Linked DNA regions of Drosophila melanogaster. The protein of the gene in region 1 interacts with the protein of each later gene in a pairwise test. Each region holds a gene or a part of one and is shown on either strand. Other genes may lie near its edges.

Region 1 (5,069 bases):
TATAATAATATATATATGTATATCCATTCGCTACTAACTTGTCAAAGTCCTGCGAGAAGCGCTTTAGGACCAGGATGGCCACGAACGTTTTCCCAGATCCTGTGGGCAGGTAGACAATGCCATTGCTCTTCGTTAGGTGGTCAACCAGGCGAAGTTGATAGCCGCGAGGCTGGAAAGGATTTTGTTAATTATTTTGCAATAAGCGAGAGCGCAAGCCAATTCATTTTACCTTGATTTCCACATCTTCCATATCTTCGCTCTTGGTTACAGAGTCTTCGGGATATTTTGATATTACAATTTGAAGTCAAATAATTTACGATTAAAGAACAAAGAAGCCGGTGACAGAGTGGCCAGCGGCTCTTATAAGATGCCTTGTGTCAAACGTATTAAGAATTGTGTTTCAAAACGGACTGGTCACACTACGCAGTGCGGTTCTTTGAACTTAAATTATTACCACAAACCGCAACATAAATAAATTTGTTTTGAAATGCTCGCTGCCAATAATATACCTTCCGGAAATAATAAACGTTTCCATTTTTATCGAAATCTGCAACAAAATAATAAGCATTTTCGGTAGTGTAAGTTCGTGAATTATTTATTATTTGAATTCTTAATCAATACCAATTGTTAAGAATATATCACATCACTTTTTGACCCATACTATCCTTAGATCATTTAGACCTTCGTTTGCAGCCCTCCTCCATACGAGTAAAGTTTCTTATTTCCTCATTTTTTTCCAAGACTTAAAATCTTGTCAAACTAATTAGAATTATACTAATTGAGTCTAATTAGAACTACACTGACGGAAATGAACGAAAATTCAATCGGGTAGTTTATATACATGGTGATTCTACTTTATTGATTATGCTCTTCACTTCTTATACATAACATTTTCTTATTGGCTTAAGGAGAATATGAAAAAGTATCGCTACGACTAAGACTACGCGACATCATCACGTCTGGCTCTTGTCATCACTTTTGACACCCTTTCCTCCGGACAGCAGGTCCTGGATTTCGATTATTGTCTTGCCCTTGGTCTCCGGCACGAAGAACAGAGAGTAGAAGAAGGCGATGACCGCGATCGCGGTAAAGATCCAAAAGGTCGGACCCGGCCCGATCGAGCTCTTGAGGATTGGGAAGAGCAGCGTGACCACGAAGGCCGACAGCCAGTTGCTGGTGCCGGCAATCGATCCTGCCACACTCTTCACATCCTCCGAGAAGAGTTCCGCCATCACCAGCCACGGCACCGGTCCGAATCCAATCGAGAAGAAGATTATGAAAATGCAGATACTGCTGATCGGCAACCAACCGAAATTGTCCATTGAAGCCGGATCGTTCTCCTTTAGCTGAAAGTACACGCCCATCAGTGCAGTGGACACGGCCATCAGAACGCCAGAGATAAGGAGCAGGATGCGACGGCCAGCCTTGTCGATAATGGCCACGGCAACCAGCGTGCTGGTCACTTGGGTGACTCCAATGATAAGCGTGGCATCGCTGCCACTTATGTCAGAGCCCGTATCCTCGAAAATGGAGGCGGAGTAGAAGAGAACGGCGTTGATTCCCGTCCACTGCTGGAAGACCTGCAGGAGCACAGCGATTCCAAGACCCTTCAGGACGATGGGTCGACGAAGGGAGGACAGAATGTTGACCTGCAATAAAAATAAGACCACGTATTATTTTCTAATCTTCACCAAAATCAATGTATTTATTAGGTATGATAAGTAGTATCTGCTACACTGATTACTAAATGGAATAATGGAAACAAATTACGTACCTGTGTTCATATGTAGTTTAACTACGAAATCGTTTAAGTTTAATGCAAACCCTATCTTGGTTCAAGTTATTGAAAATCTTAATGAATGAAAACAAAATATTATATACTATCTGAATTTACAACATTTCTTTTATCAGGGTAAGTATATGTATGTATCACTTCCGATTGTGTGATAATGGAAAGAGTAATAAATCTGTTAAAGCCCTGCGAACCCTTTATAAAGTTTCTTTATGCCTTCAATATCGATCGATTTTGATTGATTGATTGATTATTAGTGGAATGTTAACTAACCTGTGGCATATCAATCTGCTTCTGGGACTCCTCCAGGATCTCCTTGAGCTCGTCATCGATATCGGCATCCTTGCCGCGCAGCCACTGCAAGGCCTTGGCGGCATCATCGTTGCGTCCCTTCATGGCCAGGTAGACGGGTGACTCCGGCATGAAGAAGTGTATGATAGCAAAGATTACGGGCAGAATAGCGCACAGGATATTGATGGTGAGCAGGGGCAGGAAGGCGCCCACCAAATAGCCGTACAGCACGCCCGACACAATCAGCAGCTGGAAAAAGGATCCGATGGTGCCTCGTAGTGCTGTCGCCGTAATCTCTGTACAGTACATGGGAGCTGTTACGCAAAAGGCTCCGCCGCACATGCCAAGAATGAATCGTCCGAAGTAGAGCATGGTCACGTTTTTGGCGAACAGCATCAGCACCCAGCCCACCATGTACGGTGGAATTAGGGCTAACATAGTGGGTCTCCTGCCGATCCAATCGATGGCGAAACCAATGGGAATGCAGATCACAGTGGCGCCCAGGGTCAGCAGCGAGGATACCCAGCCGAACTGACTGGAGCTAATGGGAAAGCCGTATTCCGTGTTCACCGTTATCATATTCTCCACGGGCGAGGACCAACCAATGGAGGCGCCCATGCAGAGGGCACCAAAGCTGGCCGACAAGCCAGCAATATATTGTGGCAACACCGATCCCTTGGACATGGCGAGGGGTTTTTTTTTTAAATTGGTTTTTATAGGTGTTTCCTTGTCGATCGCCGGAAACGAACTGAATTCGCCACGCGACCGTTATTACGCTGGAAAAATCGCTTTTCATGCGATAACTAAAGCAGCGACGTCGACCGAGAAAGTCAAGCACCGCAAGTCAGAGCCGTAAATCAGTTGGCCATAGTTTCACCCACAAAACCAGGTGACAGATGATAGGTGGAGGCGGCGCAGCGTCATTGAGAGCGCCCAAAATCACTTGAGAGCCAAAGCAGCTAATTAAAAGCCCGACTCCAGCAACAACACATGTTCCAACATGTTGTAGCAATCAAGTGATTCCACAACAATTACCCGAATCTATGCCCTGCGGCGAAGTCCGCCCGCTAGCCCTTGGGATTGGGAGTGAGTTCGAAAGTATGTAAGTTGTGTGGAACGAAGTGGTCCCCCCGACCATAATAAATGCTTCATCATCTCTAACTCTGTGCGATTGGAAGCTAGAATATGTATGCGATTACATATATACCTTTTAAATTCCTCTGGGTAGTTATGTTTTAGATTTTATCGTAATTGTTGTTTCAATTGAGTTTTTTATTCTTTAAGCCAACTACTTGGTGTAAGACGCACTAAAAAGTTGTTAAACAAGACGGTGTGGAAAATAAAGCTATGAATGGGTTAGCTAAAAATCAAGTTATTAAACCATGATAACATGATAAATAAATCGAAACATTTTTATACGATAACAAACATAGTTGATACTGCATACTTATTTATTTTGATTTGCCTTTGCATATTGTCTTCATTTCCTATAAGGTGTGAAAGTAAAGACTGAACTTAATTTTAAGATAAATAAATATCTGCAACAGTTAGAAATTTAAATGAAAACAATTGTATTAGCAAAATCGATGATTTGCAGTAAGATAAGATCAAGATTAGCGAGTTATTTAATCACAAATTGTTAAGTATTTACTACTTGCATGCCTTAAAGGTTCTGGCAAGACTTTTACCAAATCTCATCCCCCATTTGAGGGTACCCTATCTTCGGCTTGATTAAGTCAAACCTTTTCCGGTATTTTGTTATTTACGGCACAATTGATTCGGCGCTGCCGTGTGAAAAGCAGATAATAGCGGAGACAGACTCAACAAAATAATTGAATGAGCGAAAATCGCGGGGAGTGCATCTAATCTTTGGCGTAACCAGCAACGCATCGCATCACGCCCAAAACACATGTAGGAAAATCCGCTATTGGATCGATCCAGATTGGACCCCAAACTGTGACAAAATCGCAGAATAGCTGAATACCTGTACGTACACTTAAGTCGCAACGGTCACCTGGCGGTCAAGCGGCACTATCGGTTATCAGCGAACTAGATGGAACCATTGATGGCCCACCGAACGGATTGGAGGACGGATCCTCTGATAGGCGGGCAGTGCAGAGCGGGCTTGGCTGTAGATAAGCGATTACTGGGTGATAATGATAATAATTCGACTATAGAACACTCGTATAGCGATTTCAAGTTGCCCCCAGTCCTTGTGGATTCCACTTGCAACCATGTCAATGGTCATGTAATGGCCTTATCAAGCCACCCCACACACTGAGTGCTCTCTTGGCCTGAAATCGAGCTGTTTTCGCCAGATAATGGACTCCAAAATGCATTTCAAGTGGAGCCCTGGAGCCACATCATAGTTATTTCCTGATGATTAACCGAGTGTTGTTCGGTTAAATACAATATGTTTTTATTACGTCGTTACAGATCAGTTAGTCACATCCATCCGGAGCATCGGTTGTTTGCTTGCCCCCGATTATATAACGTGGGATTAGCCGGATGATTGTTGATAACGAAATATCTACTTCTTCTGCTTGCCCTCCGCCTCCTCCATAGCACGCATCATTTTGGCGTCGTGCTGGGCGTGGTGTTCACGGATTGCCCGCTGCAGCTCCTCGTGGTGGCTTTTGCTTTCCGGCGGATAAAGTTCCCGCTTCTTCTTGGTCACCCATTCTTCAAAGTATTCCGGCTGGTTAAACAAGTGGAATAGCGTCACCGGAAAGGCCATGTACATGCCCATCTTGGCCACCTCCAGCACCCAGGTTCCCATTTCGCTGTAATATTACTCGGATAGTTGTGATAAAACGTAATTTTCGTCGAATAAAATGTGTTTTCCTCGAAAATATCAACAAAAAACAGCTGATTACAATTAACTCAGTGTTGCCTGTCGTTGAGGGCAGGGCGAGCTGTGTTGGTTAAGGCGAACATATATTTTGGGACAGTTGTCCTAAAACCGTTTTTAGGAAAAACAATTTAA
Region 2 (3,529 bases), on another chromosome or scaffold:
GCCGCCTGCGGTCGTCCAATCACAATCGCACTGCGACTTCTGTCGACGCGACTTTTAGTCCTTTGCTGCTGCTCTCCCTCCGATTTCAATGCTAATCACTGGCGAAACTTTCGACTTCATTTATCCTCGGACTGTCCCACTCGTTCTCTTTCAATTAATTGTGGCAACCACTAAAGGCTATACCTTGCTAATTGGGATTATCCATTATCGGGCAATCGGCATTTGAATAATTAAAATGTCAAATCTAACTAGTTTGCCAATTGCCGGACTTTAAATTGGGTGCAGGGGCTGTTCGCAAAAGAAAACAATTTTTGGCTTTTTCAAATGCAAATTTCATTGCTCATACGACATGTGTTCCGTACGTTGCCGTACGTGATGCGTATGCCAGTGAGTGTGTGAGTTTCGGGCTCGATTTAAATTGATTTTTATTGTTGGAAGAAGATCCCTGACCAGTGTGGCATATTTATTTTTTCGATCGCTTGCAGCAATCGCTTGCATTTTTCCCATAGCAGAATATATGGAAAAACAAGCTAAGGAATATCTCGGCCAGATGTCAAATAGTTATTCAAACGTGACAGGCTCACTTATTATTCTCACTCGGTGCTGGCGCAAGGGATGATTTTAATTGATTTGGAGACCGGCCTTCTATACACACATATAAACTTGGAAAAACTGTCAATGTTTATTTTCTTTTTCCAATTTTTTTTGCATATGATTCTAGCTTGCTAATCACATATTTTTCGAGTCGCGCAATGCATATGAAATCGGACACACCTACACCTACTTCTCTCACTTTCACATTGCTAAGCTATTGCCTTGGTTATGAAAAACTTTGCTTATGCATAAATTTTCTACCAGCAAGCGGGGAAAATTGAAATGCTTAAAAGCGCATGAAAATGTTGTTACAAGTTTGAAGTTTTTGCTGGGTCCCTTTTTATGCGGAGCACAAACTTTAAATGCACGTTACAGTATGTAGGTGTGTGTGTGTGTGTGTCTGTGAGTGCGGTAAAGAGAGGCTTGGCTATTTGTTAAGAGAATTTCTATAAAATGTTCAAAGCTTTTGTTATGGAAACTTTCCCTGCGTGCCGGCACCCAAAAACTGCAAAAAAGTATTCCCGCAGGCCACTACAGGTGAAAACTTTCGTTTACATCAACTTAAATATTGTGTATATGTGTGTTTGCGATCATAATTTGTATTACTTAAGCCCATCCAAAGCCGAGTAGAAAGCCGCCCAAGAAGGCCACACATAGACGACCGCTGGTTGCACACGCCTTCCTGGCTTTATCCCCAAGTTCCTGAACGCGGTTAAGATTCACTGGCTCCAGGGATATTTCTCTGACCTCTAGCTGCCCCCGGGACTGATCCTGTTCCAGCTGTGAGAATGTCTTGAGCACATCCAGCTGGACCAGTCCCGCCTGCCATGCCAGCTCGAGCGCCAGAATGGTACCGCCAGCGGCCACGGCCATAATCTTACTCGCCTTGAGGAGCACGAAGCCGGTGAGAAAACCACCGGCAGCTCCCATCCCGATCTGGCTGTACGGCGACCTCTGGCTAAGGCTATTCATGGCTAGGATTGGGTATTAGAGCAGGTGCCCGATGTGCTGCGCTGATTCGACATACGTACTGCTCTTCACCACTGGTAAGTCACTCATTTCAGCTGTTTTTGCGTCTTCCTTCTCTACCTGATGCTGTGCTTTTACATTCAATTTGGGTGAGCTATGGTGAAAGGTTGCTCACAGCATGCCACAACTGTCGCTTTGATTTGCGCCCTTCTATGCGCTTCTCACACTCCCCAGCTGCGCTCAACTGGGCAAATGTCCGCCAGACCGTGAACGTCTAAGCCGACAAAAACATCAAAGTTCGAATGCGCCCATGAAAGATTGGGGTGGCATTACGTAAACGACGACCCTTACATTAAATGGCCTTAAATTTGGTGTAAAAGCACATTTTAAAAGTTTTTAATTAGTCATAAACTCTGGCAAATCATTCCTGCACACAATCTCAACCCACACATATTTACATTAAACTTTTCATGGTTACTCAGTAATGCGATAGTCACTTTTCACTAATTTATGATGGATTTAAGCAGGCGGAACAGTTTTAAATAATTTTTAAATATATTGCTTTTATCTCAGTACAAGAATTGAATAGCTACTTCATAACGTAAACTTTAAAATCGCTGTTAAATACTTATTTTTCAGTGATTCATTGCCTTGTCAGCTACCAGCTATTCAGCTGAAGGTATAGTTGGCTGAGTTCGAGTTTACAGTTCAATTGCCTGGGACCCCCGAAACGGCAACGGGCTTTAACGATTGAATGCGTTTTGGGGCTTAGTCTCACCAGTGCTCTTATTTAATTTATCGTTCAATTATGCGCCCAGCCACGCCCAATCCAAATAGCTGAGGCCCCAGGAGCTGTCGAGGTGTTTTTCGTTTATCGCTAGCCGAGAATCAAATTAACAATGAGCACGCAAATTGCCACAAATGACTGCGGAACTGGACTCGAGCGGAAAAGGGAATTCAACTATTTTCCGAGCGATTATCTAGGAGGAGTAATGCAGTCTTTAAGTGCTTTTGTGCAAACAATATCTCAGTCGGACAACGGCAGTAAACACCCTTGGGTGATTCTCTGCAAGCAACTAAAGTGTTGGAACATTTAAATTGACATTAATAGGAAAAGTAAAATGTGAAATCGTCTTGCCCAGAGGAAACGGAAAATAAAAACCACACATGAAATATAAATGAAACAGAATGCAACTTGACCATAAAATGTGAGCTCAACTGAGCGAAAAAAGGGCCAACACAAGCGGAGTAACCGAGTAACAATTTCAACATCAATGCGAAACGTGTTGGCCATGTGGTGTATTCTCTTACGGCGGTGAAGTTGGCACAAGAAATCCTGCTATTCGAAACTTTCTCCCCTTACCTTATTTTTTTCTCCGCAAGTCCTGATTTTATGTCCATTGTTTAATACAGGTGTTTGTCTAAGTACGTGAGCTGGTTAGGAAATGCTTTCGTTCGACTTGTTCCATTTTAAAATATTTGAATATTGTCATATACGACGAAAATGAAATATTTACTTAAAAACTTTAACTTTTTGGTTTTGATGATGTGACTATTGTTTAATTTCTGTGTAAAGTCCTATAATTACACCCTTTAAATTGTATCGATTGATGAATAACGTACAAATCCTTATTGAAAAGATACCTTTTCCTTGCACTGTAAGCGTCTTCTCTTGAAAAGTTTACTGTGGTTTTCCACTGCTTTATATTCGGTTTGCTCGCCTTTAGACAAAGCGGAATCAAACATAAGATTGTTATTGTACTTTATTATAATCATATTGCATTATAGCAGAAACAGAATTCGGAGTTCTTGCAAAATATTCAAGCTATTGCAAACTTCTCTTTTGCGAATCAATGTCGTATGAAGTTTTTTATCATATCTGGGAGAAACACTGAATTTCGCTGCACTCAGCTAACGAATGCATCATTGCAAGATGCAAATAGCAGGCGCAACAATACGTATACGC

The links. The genes of interacting proteins can lie anywhere in the genome.
Region 2: the proteins of CG6484 (region 1) and CG12511 interact in a two-hybrid assay, tested with the Drosophila melanogaster proteins (one large-scale study listed by BioGRID).

Annotation. Positions count from the first base shown.
Region 1 is NT_033778.4:17,581,177-17,586,245, forward strand, and holds CG6484 (uncharacterized protein), read right to left. Parts: upstream 2,837-5,069; 5' UTR 2,768-2,836; coding exon 2,066-2,767; intron 1,650-2,065; coding exon 954-1,649; 3' UTR 831-953; downstream 1-830. Other genes in the region: Dcr-2 (Dicer-2), read right to left, coding at 39-169, 230-250; CG14483 (uncharacterized protein), read right to left, coding at 4,614-4,862.
Region 2 is NT_033779.5:5,676,822-5,680,350, reverse strand, and holds CG12511 (uncharacterized protein), read right to left. Parts: upstream 1,770-3,529; 5' UTR 1,654-1,769; coding exon 1,626-1,653; exon of another isoform or gene 1,569-1,625; coding exon 1,201-1,568; 3' UTR 1,128-1,200; downstream 1-1,127.